4 linked regions of the Schizosaccharomyces pombe genome follow. The gene in region 4 interacts genetically with the main gene of each other region. Each region holds a gene or a part of one and is shown on either strand. Other genes may lie near its edges.

What was found.
Region 1: mutations in cut1 (region 4) and nuc2 are lethal when combined (synthetic lethality), as found in Schizosaccharomyces pombe (2 studies listed by BioGRID).
Region 2: of cut1 (region 4) and sak1, extra expression of one is lethal in a mutant of the other (dosage lethality), as found in Schizosaccharomyces pombe (one study listed by BioGRID).
Region 3: mutations in cut1 (region 4) and pib1 together harm fitness more than expected from each alone (negative genetic interaction), as found in Schizosaccharomyces pombe (one large-scale study listed by BioGRID).

Annotation. Positions count from the first base shown.
Region 1 is NC_003424.3:4,496,142-4,501,130, forward strand, and holds nuc2 (anaphase-promoting complex TPR lobe subcomplex subunit Apc3), read left to right. Parts: upstream 1-1,954; 5' UTR 1,955-1,990; coding exon 1,991-2,294; intron 2,295-2,339; coding exon 2,340-2,510; intron 2,511-2,616; coding exon 2,617-4,139; 3' UTR 4,140-4,440; downstream 4,441-4,989. Other genes in the region: tif471 (translation initiation factor eIF4G), read right to left, coding at 1-163; alpha-aminoadipate reductase phosphopantetheinyl transferase Lys7, read left to right, coding at 829-891, 935-1,648; 1-acylglycerol-3-phosphate O-acyltransferase Slc1, read left to right, coding at 4,493-4,818, 4,882-4,989. UniProt on the Schizosaccharomyces pombe protein: Component of the anaphase-promoting complex/cyclosome (APC/C), a cell cycle-regulated E3 ubiquitin-protein ligase complex that controls progression through mitosis and the G1 phase of the cell cycle.
Region 2 is NC_003424.3:3,146,411-3,151,477, reverse strand, and holds sak1 (DNA-binding transcription factor Sak1), read left to right. Parts: upstream 1-1,758; 5' UTR 1,759-1,970; coding exon 1,971-4,271; 3' UTR 4,272-4,530; downstream 4,531-5,067. Other genes in the region: tryptophan--tRNA (Trp) ligase Msw1, read right to left, coding at 1-152; rRNA processing protein Fcf2, read right to left, coding at 4,919-5,067. UniProt on the Schizosaccharomyces pombe protein: Positively regulates cyclic AMP-dependent protein kinase-mediated exit from the mitotic cell cycle.
Region 3 is NC_003423.3:2,390,388-2,393,926, reverse strand, and holds pib1 (ubiquitin-protein ligase E/phosphatidylinositol(3)-phosphate binding protein), read left to right. Parts: upstream 1-1,829; coding exon 1,830-2,669; 3' UTR 2,670-2,990; downstream 2,991-3,539. Other genes in the region: tlg1 (SNARE protein Tgl1), read right to left, coding at 1-133, 225-253; protein mug20, read left to right, coding at 824-957, 1,001-1,268, 1,323-1,376; tRNA dihydrouridine synthase Dus1, read right to left, coding at 3,061-3,539.
Region 4 is NC_003421.2:641,442-649,442, reverse strand, and holds the start of cut1 (separase/separin), read right to left. Parts: upstream 6,035-8,001; 5' UTR 5,632-6,034; coding exon 3,542-5,631; exon of another isoform or gene 3,503-3,541; coding exon 3,201-3,502; intron 3,160-3,200; coding exon 2,865-3,159; intron 2,827-2,864; coding exon 27-2,826; 3' UTR 1-26. Other genes in the region: taf5 (transcription initiation factor TFIID subunit 5), read left to right, coding at 6,999-7,305, 7,519-8,001. UniProt on the Schizosaccharomyces pombe protein: Caspase-like protease, which plays a central role in the chromosome segregation by cleaving the rad21 subunit of the cohesin complex at the onset of anaphase. During most of the cell cycle, it is inactivated by securin/cut2 protein.

The sequences.
Region 1 (4,989 bases), on a different chromosome or scaffold from region 4:
AGGTATTCGTTGGCTCCACCCCTGAAGGCTTTACTGCCTGCTTTTCAGCAGTTGCAGTATTATTTTCTGAAGCTTTAGTGCTATTGCTTTTATTGGATTGACTGCTGGCCAAGGCACGAGCATAACTAAACTTTGGAGTATTTGACGGTGGTTTTGAAGACATTATACTCTTCGTTTATCTACAATTATTCAAAGTAATAAAACTGAAGAGACCACCGAATATTAAAACCTTAAATTAGTTCGTTTGTTTTATATACAACAACCGAGTTCTTTTCTTCCTATTTCTACTGAAAGAAAGAACACCAATTATAGATTATTATTGGAACGGAACAAGACAAACAAATGTAACGTTCTGTATTCCGTTAAATATTAAAATACCCTCCAGATGAGTTGATAATAAATTTTCAACTGAAGTGGTTGGGTTAGTGGTGGTGGTCAAGAGAAGCAATAGAACGAAGCAGCAAACTCTTCAAATTGTGCCGCTTACGTTCTATCAGTAAATTTAACGAAATTAAATCTTCTGCGATAAACACGTTTTATGACTGTTAATAGATATTCGCAAATTAAAGAAAAGCTGTTCTCCAAGGTAGAACAAAAAATATATTTTTTCGGAAAGTACTGTCGACTTGCGTTAATGTCACGCTTCATAATTCATGTTACTATTTATTGGTAGAAATTATCTTGATTGCCTTCTAACGAAATTATACTCTTCTTCTGGTTGGTTTCGAGTTTATGAGTGATTCTTGTTTTTGTGTTTCCTGGAAATTCTGGCATTGTTTATTGTAGTTTCTCATTGAAGAGTATTTCATTCGATTTAAATAGCAATATATGAAACAAAAAGTATATAGGTTATTAATAGATACTCAAGAAGCATGGCCTTTTGAAAGAACTGTATGTTTTTAGTTTTATCTAAACAATTTTTCTAATACGTTAGAGGATACCCAGTTTTAAAAAACTGAGCGATTCTGAGCGACAACAAATTGAGAGGTACTATTTCGACATGGATGCTAAAATGGCATTGGCTTCTATACTTATTAAAAGGCACTTAGTCTCCACGGCTCTCGAATGTTCACCAAATGAAGTACAAATTTCTGTCACAAAAGCCGGGAGACCGTATTGCCAATCAGCACACTGTCCTCCTATTATATTTGACTTTAATGTATCCCACTATGGGGGAATCGTAATTGTAGTAGGAGCATGGCTTCCATCAGATCCTTCAGGAATGCGACCGATCAATATTGGAGTTGACATCGTCGAATGTAAACCGTTAGCTTTTGAAGCATCATGGATGGAAGATTTCATGAGTGTATTTACTCCTTGCGAATGGAAGTTGATTAAAAGTTCAATTTCTAGTATTGATGTTTTTTTTTTGCTCTGGACTTGCAAAGAAGCGATTTTGAAAGCACTCGGTATCGGATTAAGTGGAAACCCTTTGGATATTGTGGTAACATTTCATAAATTAAATGAGCTGTTAAATTCCGAGGAAGTGTCTTTAAGAAGAGCAGCAACTGCAGTGTATTCAGGATATTCTTGGGACTTGGAAATTCATAAACTAATACTTCACTCTAGTACTTTTTACGTCAGTGTCGCCTTTCCACAAGACTGCGTAATAATGGATCTAAATTGGGAGACATTGAACGACTTGTAATTTTTTTTTATTAACATGTATCATCGCATTGTTTTAGACCGTGATGCCTCCTTTGCCTGTCTCCCTTAATGCTTGGATCGAGTTGCATTAGTAGTGTTTTTTTATTCTCTGATAATTTACCCAAACTCTTTTTGGATTTATCAGAGTTTACACAACTCTATACACCATCCAGATGATTTACCTATTTTTGTTTATATGTTTTTTTTACTAAAATGCTACATTGCTTTATAAGATTTAACATATCTTAACGATGGAGCTCAAACAATAACAACCACCTGTTTGTACCCACATGTTTTTGTTGACATTAACTCCCATCGTTTCCAAAACTTTAATAGATTTGTCATGACAGATCGATTGAAATGTTTAATATGGTATTGCATTGATAATCAGAATTATGATAATTCAATTTTTTATTCAGAACGTTTACATGCAATTGAAGATTCAAACGAGAGTTTGTATCTTTTGGCATATTCGCATTTCCTAAACCTCGATTACAATATTGTATACGACTTATTAGATAGAGTAATTAGTCATGTTCCTTGCACATACTTATTTGCAAGGACCAGCCTTATTTTAGGCAGATATAAACAAGGAATAAGTGCTGTGGAGGCCTGTCGATCGAATTGGCGCTCCATTCAGCCAAACAGTATGTGGTGATTTATTTCGCGAAACCTCTAACTAAGTTATCTAGTAAATGACTCAATTAGCAGTCGTGGACATCCAGATGCCTCTTGCATGCTTGATGTTTTGGGTACTATGTATAAAAAGGCAGGGTTCCTCAAAAAAGCTACAGATTGTTTTGTAGAAGCTGTCTCCATTAACCCATATAATTTCTCTGCTTTCCAGAATTTAACTGCAATAGGTATGTGACAGATGTTTTGTTGTGAATTAGTAAATTCACTTTTGTCAAAAAAAAATACTTATTTTCGTTTATTTCTATAATTGTGCTAATATATTTTGCTGAATAGGCGTGCCACTCGATGCTAATAATGTATTTGTTATTCCACCCTACCTTACGGCAATGAAGGGTTTTGAAAAATCTCAAACGAATGCTACAGCTTCGGTACCAGAACCGTCTTTTTTGAAGAAAAGTAAAGAGTCTTCCTCATCTTCCAACAAGTTTTCGGTTTCTGAATCGATAGCAAATAGTTATTCAAACTCATCCATTTCAGCATTTACTAAGTGGTTTGATAGGGTTGACGCTTCTGAGCTTCCAGGAAGTGAGAAGGAACGACATCAAAGCTTGAAATTACAATCTCAATCTCAGACTAGCAAAAACCTTTTGGCTTTCAATGATGCTCAAAAAGCTGATTCTAACAATAGGGATACGTCTTTAAAATCCCACTTTGTGGAACCTAGAACCCAAGCATTAAGACCAGGAGCTCGTTTAACATATAAATTACGCGAAGCGAGAAGTTCTAAAAGAGGAGAGAGCACACCTCAAAGCTTCCGCGAAGAGGACAATAATTTGATGGAATTACTAAAGTTATTCGGTAAGGGTGTTTACCTGCTCGCCCAGTATAAGTTACGAGAGGCTTTAAATTGTTTCCAAAGCTTGCCCATCGAACAGCAAAATACACCTTTTGTTCTTGCAAAGCTTGGAATAACCTACTTTGAACTGGTTGATTACGAAAAATCTGAAGAAGTGTTTCAAAAATTAAGGGACTTGTCGCCTTCACGTGTCAAAGATATGGAAGTCTTTTCAACTGCACTTTGGCATTTGCAAAAGTCTGTTCCTTTATCTTACCTTGCCCATGAAACTTTGGAAACTAATCCTTATTCCCCAGAATCATGGTGCATTCTTGCTAATTGCTTCTCACTTCAACGTGAACACTCGCAGGCATTAAAATGTATTAATAGAGCTATTCAATTGGATCCAACTTTTGAATATGCTTATACGCTTCAAGGGCACGAGCATTCTGCAAACGAAGAATACGAAAAATCGAAAACATCTTTCCGCAAAGCAATTAGAGTAAATGTTCGACATTACAATGCATGGTATGGCCTGGGAATGGTTTATTTAAAAACAGGGCGAAATGATCAAGCAGACTTTCATTTTCAACGTGCTGCAGAGATCAATCCTAACAACTCTGTACTCATCACTTGTATTGGTATGATTTACGAACGCTGCAAAGATTACAAAAAAGCACTTGATTTTTATGATCGGGCATGTAAACTGGATGAAAAGTCTTCGCTTGCCAGGTTCAAGAAAGCCAAAGTGCTTATTTTATTACATGATCACGATAAAGCACTCGTTGAATTGGAACAATTAAAGGCAATTGCGCCAGATGAAGCAAATGTTCATTTTTTGCTCGGCAAAATTTTCAAGCAAATGCGGAAAAAAAATTTAGCCTTAAAGCACTTCACTATAGCATGGAACTTAGACGGCAAGGCTACGCATATTATTAAGGAATCGATTGAAAATCTGGATATTCCCGAAGAAAATTTGTTAACTGAAACAGGTGAAATTTATAGGAATCTGGAAACTTAAGAAATTATGTCTTGTATTTTAGGGATGCCAAAAAATTGTCGAATGAATAAGTTAATGAGTTAGAATGTTTACGTCTTCATTCTGGTTAGGTTTAAAAATGATGATTTTCGTTTAGAAGTTATATATTAAAATAAAGGTATAATAGATATCATTAATAACCAATGATAAAAAAAATTGTGTATAAAATCACCGTGGGTATAACTTAAGTTTAAAGTGTGCAATTAATGAAATGTCCTCAGGCCATTCATTTTTATTACGAATCACCAACGTTACTATCACCGCACCAACCATACTTTAAAACGAAAGGAAGGGTTGTTGAAAGTTTGCTCTTCTCTACTGTGTACATATTCGAAATGGGTTTTATTAAGAGCACGCTGCTTGCTACTGTGACAGTATTTGTTGGTTTGTGCGGAATCAACCGATTTTTTACTCTCCCGAAATGTATTAGATATCACTTTCGCTATTTCGCATGTCACACATTTTTAGCTATTAGTTCTGCTTATGGGGTTATAGCCTCAGTTGTTGCACGTTTATGTGGTTATCCCGTAATGGGACAATATTTAACTGCAAAGGCATATTATGGACTGGCTAGTACAATCCTTGACTTTCGGTTTAAAATCGAAAACGAGGAAATTTTGAGAAAACATAAGTCTGCTGTCTTAGTAGTTAATCATCAATCGTAAGCATACCTCAAAATATACTTCTTTATGATAAAAAATAACTGACTTACAATTTTAATTAGTGAATTGGATATTTTGGCTATAGGAAGGACTTTTGGCCCTAATTATTCTGTTATTGCTAAAAAGTCTCTAAGATATGTGCCCATTTTGGGATGGTTTATGATATTGTC
Region 2 (5,067 bases), on a different chromosome or scaffold from region 4:
GAGAATGGGGTACGAGCGGCTTCCTCTTGTAGTTGAACCCATTGCTTTAGAGATCCCAAATAATTGCCAATGTGAGGAATTCCAGTAGGCTGAATACCTGAAACAACTCTGCTATGTGGAAGGAGAGAAGTGATTTTTGGAAGTTTAGCCATTCTTTATTACTTTTTATTTAATTGGTTTATAAAGTGAACAAATAAATAAAGATAAAGAATAAATGTAATGAAAATAAAAAAAAACAGCTGTGTTATAATCCAACTGATTACAGCTCGCAGACAATTTTTTCAAAAAGGAACAAGGCCGTAGAAACGAATGCTACACTTATGACTAGGTCAGAATGAAAACAAGCAAAATATAGGAGGAATGTTCAATGACACGCAGATAAGACAACAGGATAGAAACTTTTCTTCTCTACCAAAGATAGTTGATAAATGGTATCAAAACGGGATTATTTTTTTGGTAAAATCAAGTAGCTAAAGTTCATAACCATACAATTAAAGCGTTGCAATACCTCAGAAACTGAGAAGATGCCTATAACAAAAAATGGGATAAGAAACCCAAACTATGGGAGGAAAAAAAAGATTAAAGGCGGAAAGTGATATTGTTAGAAAGTATGGAGAAAATCCTACAATGGTGGGTATTTGAATTCTTCATAAAAGAAGGATAGTTTACATGGAGCGAGTCATTGAATGAACTTTAAGCCGTTAAAAATCTACCGAAAATAGCTCGTTTAAGCGTGAGGTTATTTTTTTTTTATTTTTTAACGAATTTGTTACAAGTGTCCAGAAGTTCGTAAAACTTGAAGAGAGCAAGTAAATTTGTATAAACAAACATGTTTTTTAAAGTATAAAAACTTTGTAAATGATATTTAAGTTGGTGTAGAAATTTAATGTAAAAAAATTTTGGATGCTTTTTGTGTACGATAGATCGACTAAAAAAACATACAAGAATGCGCAGGTCATGCCATTCTTTTTTTTTCCATTAATTTATTCCATATTGACTCGCCATCCCCACTTTGCGGTAAATAAGCGCTGCAAAGTTTCTCGTTGATTTTTACTTTCCTCCCTCTACCACTCCTAAGAAGAAAAAGGAAATTTTTTGACTAAATAGTCATGATTTCAGCAATATTCTACTTGTGTTAGTGATGTTTTAGCAGTAGACAATGATTTTCAAAAAGCTCGAAAATACGGGTTTTCCGCAATACCCGCTACTATTTTGGTAGAAAAACAAGTCATTGTTAGTTCGTCGTTTTAAAAACGCTATCGTGAAAATGAAGATTCTTTTGAAAAGATAAAAGTCTTTTAAATCCGCAGAAAAAAGAAAAAAGAAATTAAACAGAAGAAGCTTGTATGGACTTTACTTCGGCTATTTGCATTCATTCTTCACCTCCTTATGATTGGTGTGTGTAAGCATGCAAGCGACTGCTTTGGTTTAGGTGCAATGAAATTCACTATTTCATTTAACGTTTCAATGGTTCAAGACTTCGCAACGACGAATAGGATCATGGATTGATATCGTAAATAACAATTAACAAGCCCGAAGGAGGTGGAAAGAAAAGCAATTTGATGTAAAATTAAGCTAGCGAAGAATTAAGAATGTAATCAAGCGCCCCACTGCAGTGCCGTGATTATCCTTGTCTTTTAAACACCGAAGTTTAAAATCCTTGCGCTTAACAAGCGATAGTGATCGACGGTGGAAACATTTTTTTTACGACCTCGAGGAGTTGGCGCTTTCTTTGCCCATAAGCATCTTCTTGTCTTCACCACACTTGAGCATTTCCGACTAGCCAAGGCTGGTCAATTTGCCCCTCAAATATTTTCTGAGGATTTAATAGTTACGACGTATAGAGGGTGCTTTTTAATTTTTGGTATCTTAAAAAAGGTTTGTATAGTACCGGTTGGATGTTGGCAAGTAGATAATTTTTTGTGGTAAATTTTTGCACTTCCGATAAACGTTCTGTCAGGCACAGGATTATGAATCCATCTGATTTACCAGGTCAAATACCTCTGTCTAGATCAGATATGAATGTCCAAGATCAATTGGACCCGGTTCAACGCTTTGATACTCATTTTATGCTTCCCCAGGAGGAGAATTTTTTGAATCGCCCCTCCATAACCTCCGAATCTGCACATCCACGAGGAAGTGATTTAGAGCAAGAGACAGAACTAAAAAGACTTGCGTTGGAACATGAACATTACTCTTTAGAGTCGCTAGCGGAAAAGCTGCGAATGGACCACGTAAGTGCCAATTCGGAAAAATTTCGCCAGGTTTTTGGCATATGTTGGTTAAAGCGTGCTTGTGAAGAACAACAAGATGCTGCTGTCCAACGAAATCAAATATACGCTCATTACGTCGAAATCTGTAACTCTTTGCATATCAAACCTCTAAATTCCGCTTCGTTTGGAAAACTGGTTCGTTTGCTCTTTCCTTCCATCAAAACCCGACGTTTAGGCATGCGTGGCCACTCAAAATACCATTATTGTGGTATTAAACTGCGTGGTCAAGACTCTTTTCGCAGACTACGTACCTTTTCAGATTCAAGTCTTTCCCCCGTTTCCTGTTCTTCGTTTCCCAAACCTATTCCCAATCATTTTGAAAACGATGTTTCTTCTATTCAAAACACAAATCAGCGTGTAGAAAGCAGCCCTGCATCGGTTAATGCTGCGGCTATAGTTAGAAAATCCGCTGTCACCCCTTCATCAGATCCTTACAATTCGCCTCCTCCTTCTATACCTTTGCTAGGAAGTCAAACCAATTTGCAATTGGCTCCTTCTTTTGCTGCTCCACAAGCCCATCCCCTACCTTCACATCTTTCACAATCCAATGTTCCGCCACAACTTTCTCATTCTTCGGTACCTTCACCTGCACCACCCCGTTCTGTGTCCCAACCGACCTATTTTTCTCAACCCATGCCTCAGTTTTCTTCTTCGTTTGTACCCGGTACTTCTTCGATAGTACCTACCTTGCATCCTGCTTCTGCACAAGAAGATTTTAATCTTCAACATTCCCTATTCTTCAAACTTAAACTTAAATTCTTGCCTCCTCATAAGCTTCCTTGGATCCCATCATTAGACGTGTCTTCATTTTCCTTACCTCCTATTGACTATTATTTAAATGGTCCATACGATAATGTCGAGGCGAAATCTGCATTAATGAACATTTATTCTTCGCATTGCATTACTCTAATTGAATCAGTCCGGTATATGCATCTCAAGCAATTTCTGTCCGAGATCTCTAACTTTCCCAATTCCCTCTCTCCTTCTCTTTTAGCTTTGCTGTCCTCTCCTTATTTCACGAAATGGATTGAGCGTTCTGATACCGTTATGTACAGGGAAATACTGAAGTTGCTATTCCCTATGACTCTTCAAGTGGTACCTCCGCCAGTCTTGGTGCTACTGCGTCATTTAGCTGAGAATCTCGTTAATCACATATCCAGCATATACGCTTCTCATTCATCTTGTCTTCTCCAAGTCAAATCTGAGACTGCCGCAATCTTTAGTAACTTATTGTCTCGTCTTTTGCGTGTCAACGATACGGCTCATGCTGCTGCTAGGTTCCTTGCCAACCCTGCCGACAGGCATTTAATTTGTAACGACTGGGAACGATTTGTCAGTACAAGATTTATTGTACATAGAGAATTAATGTGCAATGACAAAGAAGCAGTAGCCGCGTTGGATGAGTGGTATTCTATCCTTTCAACCTGTTCAAATCCTTCTGAGCTTTTAGACCCTTTGAAGGACAAACATGAAGCCAGTGATACATCAATGAACAGGGTCGAACTTCGACAAATTGATGGTGTTTTAGATCGTATGGCAGATTTTTTTCTGGAGTTGCCTTCCAGATTTCCCTCCTGCTCTCCTAGAATGTTTCTTCTATGCCTAGGCGCTTTACAAACTAGTGTGCTTCGTGAAATCACGGTCAGTGGAGGTGAAGCATTTGGGGCTCTTTGGGTAATTAGATGTTGGGTCGATGAATACATGACTTGGGTGGCAGAGATTGGCGGATACCTCGATGATAGTTATGATGAGCTGGAACAGCATCATGCTAACTTTCATAATAAAGCTGGAATATCTCAGAGTAATATCCCTCCTCATTTACAGGAGCACCGTCAATCCCAGCAACACTTCCAACAAGACATCGAAGCTTTGCAATCACAACAACAACAACAAGCCACTAAAAATTCCTTGATGGAAGCTGCCTACCAGAATGCTCAGAAGCAAAAGGAAGACGACTATATATCCATTGTATTTGATACAAATGGTGCTTGTAGTTGATGTACAATATAGTTGACCCTTTTTAGGGCTTCGAAAAAGCAAGCGTAATTACACTGACAAAAGTTAATATCATTCATATTATTGTTTTTGTTTTTTAATATATGTTTCTTTTGTTCAGGAGGTCTATTTGTTTAAGTCTGTGAACTTTTGAAATGCAATTAGATTACTATAATCCTGGCGCTTGTTTCTTATGGGTGAACGTCCATACATATACCAAATTGAAAGTGACTATACTTTATATTTGTTTTTTATTTCTTTTAAAATTTCACTGTCAGTAAATAGAGTTTCAACATTTTTGTCTTTAATTTTGATATCGACTATCACATATGTATTGATTAATATAAATGTTCTCCGATAACTATTTTATAAAACCTATTTAAACTATTGAGTGTAATTATTGCATTTCTCTGGCAGTAACAAGAATATTAAGCCCATACAAATGAGGAAATTGGCATCGATATCATTCAACAAGAATAGCGAACCCCCAAAAAAACAGCATCATACTAAAAGCGAACTTTCTACGAGAAACTTCGTGTTTAAAAAACAAGACTTCAAATAAAATGTTTAAATATTCCCCTTAAAGACCATATATTAAATTAAAAAAACGACAAAATAACTTAAACAACGGAAAATGGAAACATCAACCACTATTTCAAGTAAGAAGGTTTTCGGCGCTGCTGAAGTTTTTTATATTGCCCCTTCCGTCCACTCATTTTCGATTTTTGTAATTCTAGATATTTTTTCTTGAAGTACGATCGTCTTTCTGAATCGTGCAATAATTCGTCAACAATTGTCT
Region 3 (3,539 bases), on a different chromosome or scaffold from region 4:
GTCCTTCAATGTTTCGCTTAACTCATCAATGGCGTAAGTAAGCTCAGTATTTGGTGAAAGGACTCCAGAGTTTCGTGCGGCCATAAAAGAATTGTAAAGCTTTCGCACTTGCTCCATTTGATTTGATGCATCCCTATATTTCGAATAAATGTCAGTTAAATAAAATCTTAAAGCAACAAAAGGAATCTATTAAGACATTTCTGGTTCATCATTGCACAACTTACGCTTTGACTTCATAAAAGGGGTCCTCCATGTTGATGATGTAGAGATATGAGCCAATTTTCTACTTGGAAATGCTTTTATAATTTAAAGAAAAATAAGATAATATAAAATAAACGAAGCAAATTCGTATTATCAGGTATGCTGTCTGCAAATACTAAAGTACTGTGCTGATTCAGTCAAGTAACGACTTTACGATAGATAACGCTACCTAACTGCTCACTCAAAGATCACCGTAAACATTGAGTCCTTACAAAACAAGTAATGGAGAATAAATAAGAAAGCAATATCTCAATCTTGTTGAAAAAACAGCAACCTCCCCTTGTCACTATTTTGTTTTGATTCAACCGTATTCCACCGTTGTATGTTAGATTAAATGTAAACATCTAGGTAAATAAAACGTTTTCAATGGCCAAAAGCAATCTTTCATTCTAGCCTTTGTGCTAAAAAATTAATTCTATTGCTAAAAACCTAAGACTAAATGTTTTAAGAGAAACTGAACACAAAGAAAGTCTTGTGAGCTAAAACAGTACGCTATATATCGCTAGCTTGATGTAAACAAAAGACGCGTAGACACTATTAACATGTTATCAAGAACCACAACATGTCTGAAATTATAACGTCTTTGCAAACAGAGCTGAGCAATCGCCATGCTAACATGGTATCTGAAGCAGTATTAGCATTCAGTGAGCATCATGATAGTGCATTGCATTCATATTTTTTGAATGCACGTGTCAAGTACGTCCATAAGTTTCTTCAGCTAATTGACCCAACAATTCAGAGACGTGATTTTAGAAAGCCTAAGAACGACAGAGGAGAAGCTTCGTGCTTTAGATAAATTACAGCTGGATGCTTCGAAAAACCTGTCAAACCTGTTGGTGGAATATAATAGTATAAACGCAGAATTGGAGTCCGTCAATAGTAAGATCTCTTCTATTTCTTCCCAAGAATATGCATTGGAAGAATTTCAGGCACTTTCCCAGAATTTTGAGAAGAATTTAGTTCAGCATCGTCGTAATTCCCAAAATAAGCTCAAATGTGCAATGGAGGTAAACATAAAAACAAATTATATTGTCATATTACTAACCTCAATAAATTTAAAGAAACTAAAGATGATTGAAACCTCAACTCATAAAGCTATTCTCGACAATTTTTAAATTTCAGAGATCTAATGTCATACTGCCTCAAACCAAGCTTGATAATAACGAAGAAAGTCAACTTTCATCAAACACGCTGACATCGTTATATTAAGGTCTAAATGAAACGGCGCTAAATTTGCTTCTGAGCTCTATGAAACATACATAAAGAAAAGATGTTTAAATGCGTAATTTCTGATAAAGTTATTCTTCTTGGATAGCTTTTTGATATTTACTACAATTGATATTCTAAATGACTTATTATCTTATTCTCTTACGTTAACGAAGTTTAAAAAATTTATTTTGCGATATGCAGTGAGTTTTCCACTTCCACCGGTAATCATATTCCTTTGATCAGTATAAGTTACCCTTTTGTTTTGACCTTATCTCCTGAGGCAACTTTCAACACCATTCTAGCGGGTACTCAACTTTTTGCTCTCGAACATAGTTTAATGAATTTTTATCAAATTGAGTATGGACGAGGATGAGACGACTTATCCAGAGGCTTTGAGACGCTTACTCATTGAAACGCCGGCGGCAATTTGGCAACTGGACGATGAAAGTGCGCAGTGCAATAATTGTGGTGGTCCTTTTACCTGGTTTCGGAGAAGACATCATTGTAGATGGTGTGGTAAACTTTTTTGTTACAATTGCTGCAATAGTTTTGCAAAGCTTCCTGTGAGCAGTGTTTCAGTAGATCCAACTGAGGATCTTATCCCACAAGACATGTTTATTAGAGATCCTGATTTTCTTGCTAATGATAATGATGATGATAATGATTCACAAGACTCTTCATGGATCAATGTACGAGTTTGTGTCAATTGTCGTCAGCAATTGTCGGAACTAAAAGAACTGGATTTACCCTATCCTATCACTACTTGTTTGAACGATGATACCACTACTCGATCTAACAATCAAGTTATACAGTCTTCCTGTGGAAACAATTTGCAGAGGATTGAAGAGCCTGATGATTTTGTTGAATGTCCAGTTTGCTATGCTCCTCTCTCAAGTTTTAAAACCCTTTCTGAACGGGAATCTCATGTTGCGAATTGTCTAAGTAATAATAGTTCATCTCCAAGAAACATGACTGAATTTTTGAAACACGCTAGAAGATACATAAGTATGCAGCTATCAGAGACTTCTCCTTGCCTGGGGCAAGAATGTATTATATGCTTTGAAGAATTTGCTGCTGGTGATAGAGTTGCAAGGATAGAATATTGTCTATGCATTTTTCATTTAAAATGTTATCGTGATTGGCTGAGTACTGGGGCTGCTGGTTGTCCTGTTCATGCCGCTACACTGCATTTATCTTAATATCGTTCCAAATTACTTCTAGGTTTCTAATTTCGGCTTCGGTTGCTTTTGCATGATTAAATTGCTGTCTTCTCTCTCCTATTATTTCTAGGTATAGGCATCTAACATTGTATCATTACTTGGTTATTTATTTCAGTTATGCCCTTTCTTTTCGAATTTGTTTTTCTTGCATTGTAATCATACATTGGGATGTCGAATTTTTATACATATACTAATACTTTAATGCCTTTACAAATCGTTTCGCATATTTTATATCCTTACAAATATAATATAACTTTTAATCTCAGTAAAAATATTATTTTAAATGAACTCAATGATTATGTACCACCAAAATAATTTGCCTATATTAGTATAGTAATGCCAGAACAAAACAAAAAAAAAGAATTATGGACTATGCCACAGAAGCATTGACCTTTTTCTTTACAGGTCCCTCATCAGCGGTTACTTCAACTGGCTTTCGCTTGGTTACTAGAGGAACCTCCAGAGGCCGAATGTAAGGCTGGACACGCCACCAAGGAATAACAGGGTAACCCATAGAATCTTTAACAGATTCCTTAACATCTTTATCTTCATTAATTTCTCCCTTCTCTTCGCATTCTAGTAATCTTTTCCGAAGCATAGCAACCACAGGAGGAAACGTCTCAAAATCACGAGGGGTACAACCTTGTGCTAATTTACTTCGAATATCAGTGTGAATACTCAACAGAGGTCTCATTAATTTAAAAAGATGGCCCTTTATAGCAGACAAACTACTATAATCTGATTCCAACTTGAATTCTCTGATTATGTTAAGATACTCTTCGCACATATCATCGATTCGTGGGTATAAAGTCATGAGAGGTGATGAGGGAGGTAGAAAAATACGGGGAT
Region 4 (8,001 bases):
AAAAAGAAGTAAGAATTTTAGACAGTTTATGGAATAATATAAGCAGGTATTCCGTATATCACAGGAGCTGCTCCGTTCAAATAGCGTAGATGACAGCATGAACGACTTTCGCTGACCGCTGTGCATATACTCGTTGAATTCACAAAAGGTGCCTTATTTTCAAAGAGTCCCCAGCTTTCAAGCATCTTCAAACTGAACCTATCGATGTCTTTATCGGTGACATCCCATAAGTTTGCAACTAACGTTGGACACCCAGCACTCAAATAATCCAAAGGAGTCCCCCATGGCTCAAATGAGCCACATTCATACAAAGCACCAGAACTACAACCCATCAGTATAGTGACTGCACACCTTTTTAGAGTGGCCAGGTCATAAGATGTTGTATATTGCTCTCCTCCTCCATGTCCGAAATATAGAAAAAAATCATTACCTGAAAGCATTTTAATAAAATCTCTATTAGAAGGTTGACTAGCAATTAATCCCTTCCACCCACCTTCAACTAGTTTATGTTCAAACATTTCTTGAGTATGCTTAAGGTCCAAACTAGGATTTAGTATATATGAACCTGCTTCTTTACGCACTTCAACATACTCTCCATTAACGACAAATGATTGGGACAAGATGTCCCGCAGAATTGATAATGAAGGCACACGTGATACCGATTGTCGGTTTAGGCATGGTAAAGATTCCCACGGAAATTGGTGAACTGATTTATCCAGTACAAGGACCGTATGACTCCTGTTCTCTTCAGAGACATAATTGTTGAAGTAGGCATTTAGAGCATCCTGAAGATCCATAGATAGTTGATCAGTATCAATCTCGTCGTATGCAAAATGAAGACCTCGGAATTGAAAAATGTCCAAAATAAAATAAATCAAATCCTCTAAAAGCTGTTCGTAACCTTCATACCCAGGTTTTCCTAAGGTGATGAATAGTTCTAGGATCTCAGGCGACAGTGTAGGGACAGGTGTTTTCTTGTCCATGTTAAAATTTTTAGCTATAATGTTTTGAAATTGACTGGAAAACTTGGCAAACAAAGAAGTATCAATTTTATGTGGATTGAAAATACCTTTAAATCCACCGAGCCATGATATTTCAATATTTTCTAAAAGTTGTTGCAAGCATTGATCAAGGTGTCTTCTTTCTTTCCACCAAGTTTCTTTGTCTTCTCTTCTAGTATAATGTTTACCGTTCTGAGCCATCTGATTACTTTTAGAGATAATTCGAAATAGCTCGGTTTGAGCTTTTGTAAACACAAGGATTTCTTCGTCTGCGTCACGTGAATTATGTCTTTGCAATGGTAAACGAAAAATCAGCGGAGAATGACCTTTGCGTATTTTTGAGATGAACAAATCCTCTCCAGAATTGTTAATAGTAATAGAAACGACATTCCAGATCGACGGTAATGAATCAATAAAATTGTCTTGAAATGTACGGACATCAGGTATAGATAACCGACTATTTAAAATTTGTTCCAAACTACTAAAATGAAGTTCTTTGTGCTGGTTTCTGAATTTCTGTGCTTCACGACGTCTATGGAATCCTAGAGCTTTAGGGATCTCTAAAAAAAATGAGGCTGAACTAGAATCGACGTCGGTCGTTTCGCCAATTGTGGTTAATGCACTTTGCATAATTGTTGAGTACGATATCAATTCATTGACCTCCCTGCAAACGCATACAGAGCTCCGCTCATATGCATTAGAAAATATAATTTCACAGCTTAATCTAACATTCTGCAAATTGATTTTAAGCCTCTCACGTAAATAATCTAAGCGCTTGGATCCCTTGCGAAATCCTGTATTTTCTCCAAGCGCTTTTGTTTTACTTTGATTTTTCTGAAATTTATGAGAAATTCCAGGTAATGAAATTACAGAATCGGGAAGAGTACGTAGGACGGGATCGCCAAATAGTGTGGAATCAGCTTCACAAACAATAAGCTTTGATTTTAAAATATTAGCTGAGACTATGTTGAAAAAACTTGCAATTGAGCATTTTGTCGAGTCAGTCATTAAAGCCTTTGCAATCTCCAAGTTTCCTCTTTTCAACTCAAACATAGAAATCAGACGAAGTAAATTGGCTGCCGTATTTTGAAGAATTGACCAGTCATCAAATTCAGTAGTATTAGATTCTGTAACAAAAGTTGGTTGACTTGAAAGACTGAGTCTTTTAATTCCTTTTGTAAGAGACTTCTCGCGGTTCCTATTAAAAAAAAGGTAATATTCTGACTTTATTATTTCTAAAAGTTTTACACATTCTGAATAGTGACATATGGCACCATCCAACTCGGATTTTGTTGCGCATACTTCAGCTGCTCCGTAATTCCATAAAAGTTTATGGTATGTATCTGTGCTTTTCATCGCCTCAGTAAGATCAAATAAAATCTTCTCGCCCTTCTCTAACTTTCCTGCCCTTGTTAGTAGTGAGCATAAGCGCAATTGGAAGGTAGCTGAAAAACAAGAAAACGGCATCTTTTCAGAAATACTGCAAGCTTGTCGATAAAAAAATTCGGCTTCTCGCGCCTGTCCCATGTGCTCATAAATCCTTGCAGCGCAAACGTTAGAGTGAGCACTGACAGCGAAAAGTCGCCAAGTAATATATTTTCCGCCGTTGAAATGCTCCTTTGAGCTTTTAGAAAACAATCCCTTAATAACCTTTAAATTTTGCATTATAAAGCCAAGAGAAACAGTGGTGTAGCCTAGTTGAAATAGGGCATCACTTAGCTGTATCCTTTCATAAAGCAAAAGATTGAGGCTAACAGTCCGACTTAAACCATTTGAATTGAAATCCTCTTCAGAAGAAAGAGAATATTTTTTTAACTGTAAAATTCTGAGCTCGTTAGTAACTATCTCACAAAGTCTTCATACCCTTTATCCGTATTTCCGGTTAAAATCAAATATTTACCATAAGAAACATTCCAAAAGTTTATAAAAGGACTGCTTTTACATTGACGAAGATAGCTATAACACTTGGTATAAAACAAGTGAGCTTTCCCTGAGAAGCCAAGCGTCATATATTTATCACTAAGCAAAGTACCAATGATGACCAGATACTTGGAAAATTGAAGATGAAGAAGACAATTGAAAAGTTCGTAAAATATCTCAAGGAAAGCCAACTCGAATGTTAGTTTTCCACTCGGCTCCACCGTATGTAAAAAACAAACTATAAACAATTAGAAACGCCGGTTACGATTGAAAACTTACAAAAAAAATTCAAAATTGAGTTAATTTCAAAATCTGTGAAGGAGCAACGAGAAATGACCGAAGAAAATCGAGATATAAAAATAGTCCACGACTCAATTATTGTAAGTATCCTACTATCGTCTTCCGCACGTCTGTAACATAGCAAATTTTCCCATGAGCATAATAGCGACTCGTTTAAAGCTAATTTCGCATTATTGTTGGAATTATGCTCTAGGAGATTTTGGTCACCTTTAATAACGCAAAGAACCATTTCCTCAAATTTAATGTCATTATACCCATGGTTTGCCAAAACGCAAGAAACACTAAATGTCAGCAAATAAGAAAATTGTAGAAATACTTACTTTGTTTTAAGCAAAAGGACCTCCTCTTTTTCATGTAACATAAGAGATAATTTAAAAGATAAAGCAGCAGATGCATTATATCGAGAACCTTCATTTGCACATTTAAAAAAAAGTTTGAGCAAGGAATAGCTTATTGATTCAAGCAATTTTTCTATATTTGAATCATTTATAGAAGTTAAAGAGTTGAATATACGTTTTAAAATGTTATCCAATACACTAGATTTTCCAACAGATGTAGTTCCAACATAGAGATCCAGTTGATTGAATGTAGTATGGAGTACATCACATTTTTCTTGCAACTGTAAAGAATCGTGGTACCGAAGTTGAAAATTTTTTAAAATTTTCAGGAGATATGTTTCATCATTAGTCAATTTATGTGATACAGCAATTTTGATACTCAAACTTATGCATTCACGTGCATAATTAACATTAGAAGATTTTACACACAAGTTGTAAAGATGATTGGAAAGCTTTTGAGGAAATTCAGCATCTTCATAGTAGGCTGCGAGATTTAAACAGCCTTCCAGAGAACTTTGAAATTTAGTCAACTCACTAAATGACCTAATTATATGAAATGTAAACATCAAAAACTTTCTTATTTTAAGTTGGAGATTTAAAAGCTCATCCTCGACAAGGATATCCCTCACAACCGATGAGAGTATCCACGATAAAATTTCTGATATGTTCAAAGCAAATACAGTATCATCAAAAACCGTCGAGTCATTGAAAAGTCGAAATGATCGCTCTATTGAATCCAATAAATGTAGAGCTTCTGAATATGGTAAAGCATTTTCGACAAAGAGCTGCTGAAGTGACGACAACTCTTGGATTAAATTGAACGGAAAACAAATGCTATTATCGTGAATTGATAATCGAAAAGAAAATAATAAAAATTTTAATTTAAAACTGATGTCTTCAAATGACAAAGAATAGCCTCTAATGACATATGCAGCGCTTAATTGGAAATCATTATATTTATAATAAAGTTGAGAAAGTTGAAGCAAAATATGCAACCTCGATTCTTTTGATAAATTTTCCAGAAGATGATGAAGTTGTGTCATATCTTTATTTAAAATAGATCCTTCAATATCTTCGCTTTTACATAATTGGACAACTTTTGAGAAAAGTTGGAGGATTCTCGTTTCAAGCTGATTTACATCAAACTCTTTATCGTCAGCTCTCTGGGAAGAAAGAATATTCAACCATAAAGCTATAGAGAGGATTAAAAGTTTGAACGATTGTAAGGCGTTATTTTGTATCATGGAAAATCTTGTCAACAAACGAGCTAAAATTTCTCTTCTCGAATTGGCCAATTGAACCTGGGAAGGAAAGCTTCTTTCAATCCATTGAAAAGGGCCATCTTCGCTTTGTAAGTTATTGATTGTATTCAAAGACAAACCGTTAATTTGACTTAAAGATAAACATCGTAATACATTGAGCTGAAATGTGACAACGATAGTGCCTATATTTAAGAAATAAGAGGCAGGAACCATAGGAACAAAAAGGCAGCTTTCTAATTGGATTTCTGAAACATCTAAAGTGGGATTAAGAAGGGTAGCAGTAGGGATGGCATCGTGGTCCCGATATGTCAGTAAAATTATAAGGTTTTTATGAGTTTTCATCAAAAGACTGATAGCTGGTTCAAAAATCTCCATGTCCAGGAGCCGATTACAAATTGAAACCCCGCTACGGATGCAATCATACAAATGACTTGTATTTTTGGTTACCACCTGCATTTGTTCGAGAATATATGTACAGCATTCTAACAGGTAGAAAACCTCGGGACGGTGAGCCGTATTTAATCTAGAAGGTGTACAAAACATCCTTCTAGTTTTCTCCTTATCTGTAGTGGATAGCTCCGCCCATTGCTTAGCTAAGTTACTGACTGCACATTTGAAAGCCACAAACAAATGCTCGAACGTCCACGAAGGTGCATCACGAGATATATTTTGCTTGAGGTCCTTTAATTTTACAGAAGCCTTGAGTCGCTTAACGAGAGTAATAGAGCAATGCTCAGGATAACTGAGAGCTGAAATGAACTTCTCTGGAGTCCAAGAAACTTTACTAGTAACGATTGACCTTGTAGACATAATGGAAACGAATGAATAGTAAAAAATATTAACCAGCAACAGTTACAACAATAAAAGGGATTTAAATTATTTAACGCCGTTCATGAAGAATAGGTTGCAAGAAATAACTAAGCCAATAGCAAATATCGACCAAAATATAAGATTTAATAATTTGACAGTGATTTTCAGTTCGCAAAGTTATATTACTAATTATTGAGAAGAGGAAAATATTAGTGACTTAAAAATCATGTAGATGTTTTATTATATGCTTATGAAAAGTAGATTAATCGATCTTCCCAACCAATAGAATATTATCAGCATTAATTAGAACATTGCAATAGTCGAAATTTGGAGCTGTTGGTTTTTATTTCGTCTAAAACGAAAAAACTGTCAAGTCGTCTCGCTGGATGAAGATAGGCTAGTTGGTAGCAAGGATGCTTTGGATGTTAAGGCAAATGAAAACACAGTACTTACCACCAAATCCCTAAAACTGGTCCAAAAGAAAGAAAACTGTAAAGAAGAAAATTAAATATAATTAAAAATGAATGTAAATAATTGATAGTTTACAGTTATTATCTACAGTCCATTACTTCATCGCAACCTACTATTTGTAAATTTCAATAATGTAAATAAATATATCAATAAATAAATAAACCGATTAAGACTCAAAACCATACAAATCTGTAACAGGAAAAAAAACATATAATTTCTGATAAACTCATTTTATCAATGCTACATCAATTTTTGTTATAAACTAATGATTTTGAAGGAAATATGAAATTTCCCAATTTTTTGAATTTTTTAAAAAAAACTTCTACATTTTCCCTATTTAAATTTCAACCCAACATTTAGTTTTATTTTAATAAGGGGCCCTACTATAATTTAATTAAAAAATTATAAACATCCCGAAATTGGGATGAAACTTCTAAAAAAAAAGTAAGTGAAAGTTTTTAAAACCGAATTGAAAATCAAAAAAGAATTTTAAAAAGTATCTAATTGAAAAAGTTTTACTATGCAAAACTTTTATTTATTTATTTTTTTTTTCTAGCGTTCATTGCCTCGCAATCCTGTGTTGACATTAAAACAATTTCATAGACAGTTCATTTTTGAGTAGGACAAAAGAAATAGTAATTTAGATAGGATTTCGACATCAAAACGCTCACAGACACTGTGGAACCTTTCCAAATTTCAGTTATTCATAAATCCTGCAAATTCCCAATTTAGCGTGGTACACAATGGTATGTTAATAGACACGAACTCGACATATGCTACTTCCTAGCAAGTTGCTTTGAGCTCTGCGCAGGTAATTATATGAATCACGGTCATTTGTAGATTTATATTTGGATTCTAATTAATTTCTTCAAGCTAGAGTATTGGAGAATTTAACCATGTCTGCCACTAATGGGCCGCAACCGCAGGATCTGAACAGAATTGTTCTGGATTACCTTGCGAAGAAGGGATACTCAAGGACCGAGGCGATGCTTCGTTTGGAAGCATCGGGTTCTGGCGTGTCAGTAGAGGAGAAGTTAAAAAGCATTGAGGAAACTCCAGATGCATACACACACACGTATACGATCTTACGAGACTGGGTGGATAGTTCGTTAGAATTGTACAAAGCTGAACTTCACAGGATATTATTTCCTATATTTGTTCACTCATATCTTAATCTCTTGTCTCAAGATCATTATGAAGCTGGTAAGTTGGTCATATTGGAGGAGGTTACGAATTTGTTACATGTTTGTTTCGATGATCTACGAACAAGAGGGGTATTTGAACTATTCTAAATACTTATTAGTTTCTTTATCTATTGAGTTTACAACTTGTCTTTATTTCTGAAACTCATTCCACTTGACCACCCATATTTAATTCTTTATAAGGATAAATGATAATTTTACTAACGTGCTATAGCAAAGCAATTTTACGAACTCTTCAAAGACGATCATACTGATCTTCATGACTTTGATGTAAAAAACTTAAAATCGCTGAGTCTTCCAAGCCATGTCGCAGAAGACCGCACTGCTCAACAATACCGGCAAAATAAATATCAACTCCATTTTTCTAGGATAACATTTGATTTATTGCTTCATTTCTTATTTGAAAACGTTTCAAACGGTGGGTCAATTATCATTAAATTAATCAATCAGCATATAGATATCCATATCGTTCCCGGACGTCCCACCGTCTTGGAAAATGCTAAAGTTATCAATGAACAAGAAGGTATTACCGGCCAATCCTTTGAACGAGGAGATGCTCAACTTCAACCTGTAAAGCTGCAACAAATGCCAATGGACAAAGAAATGGAAAAAATTGTAGAGATGGACTTAGAAGAAGAGGATATGATGCACCAAAACGATCCAAATAACCAATCTCCAAAACTATTAAAAGAATTTA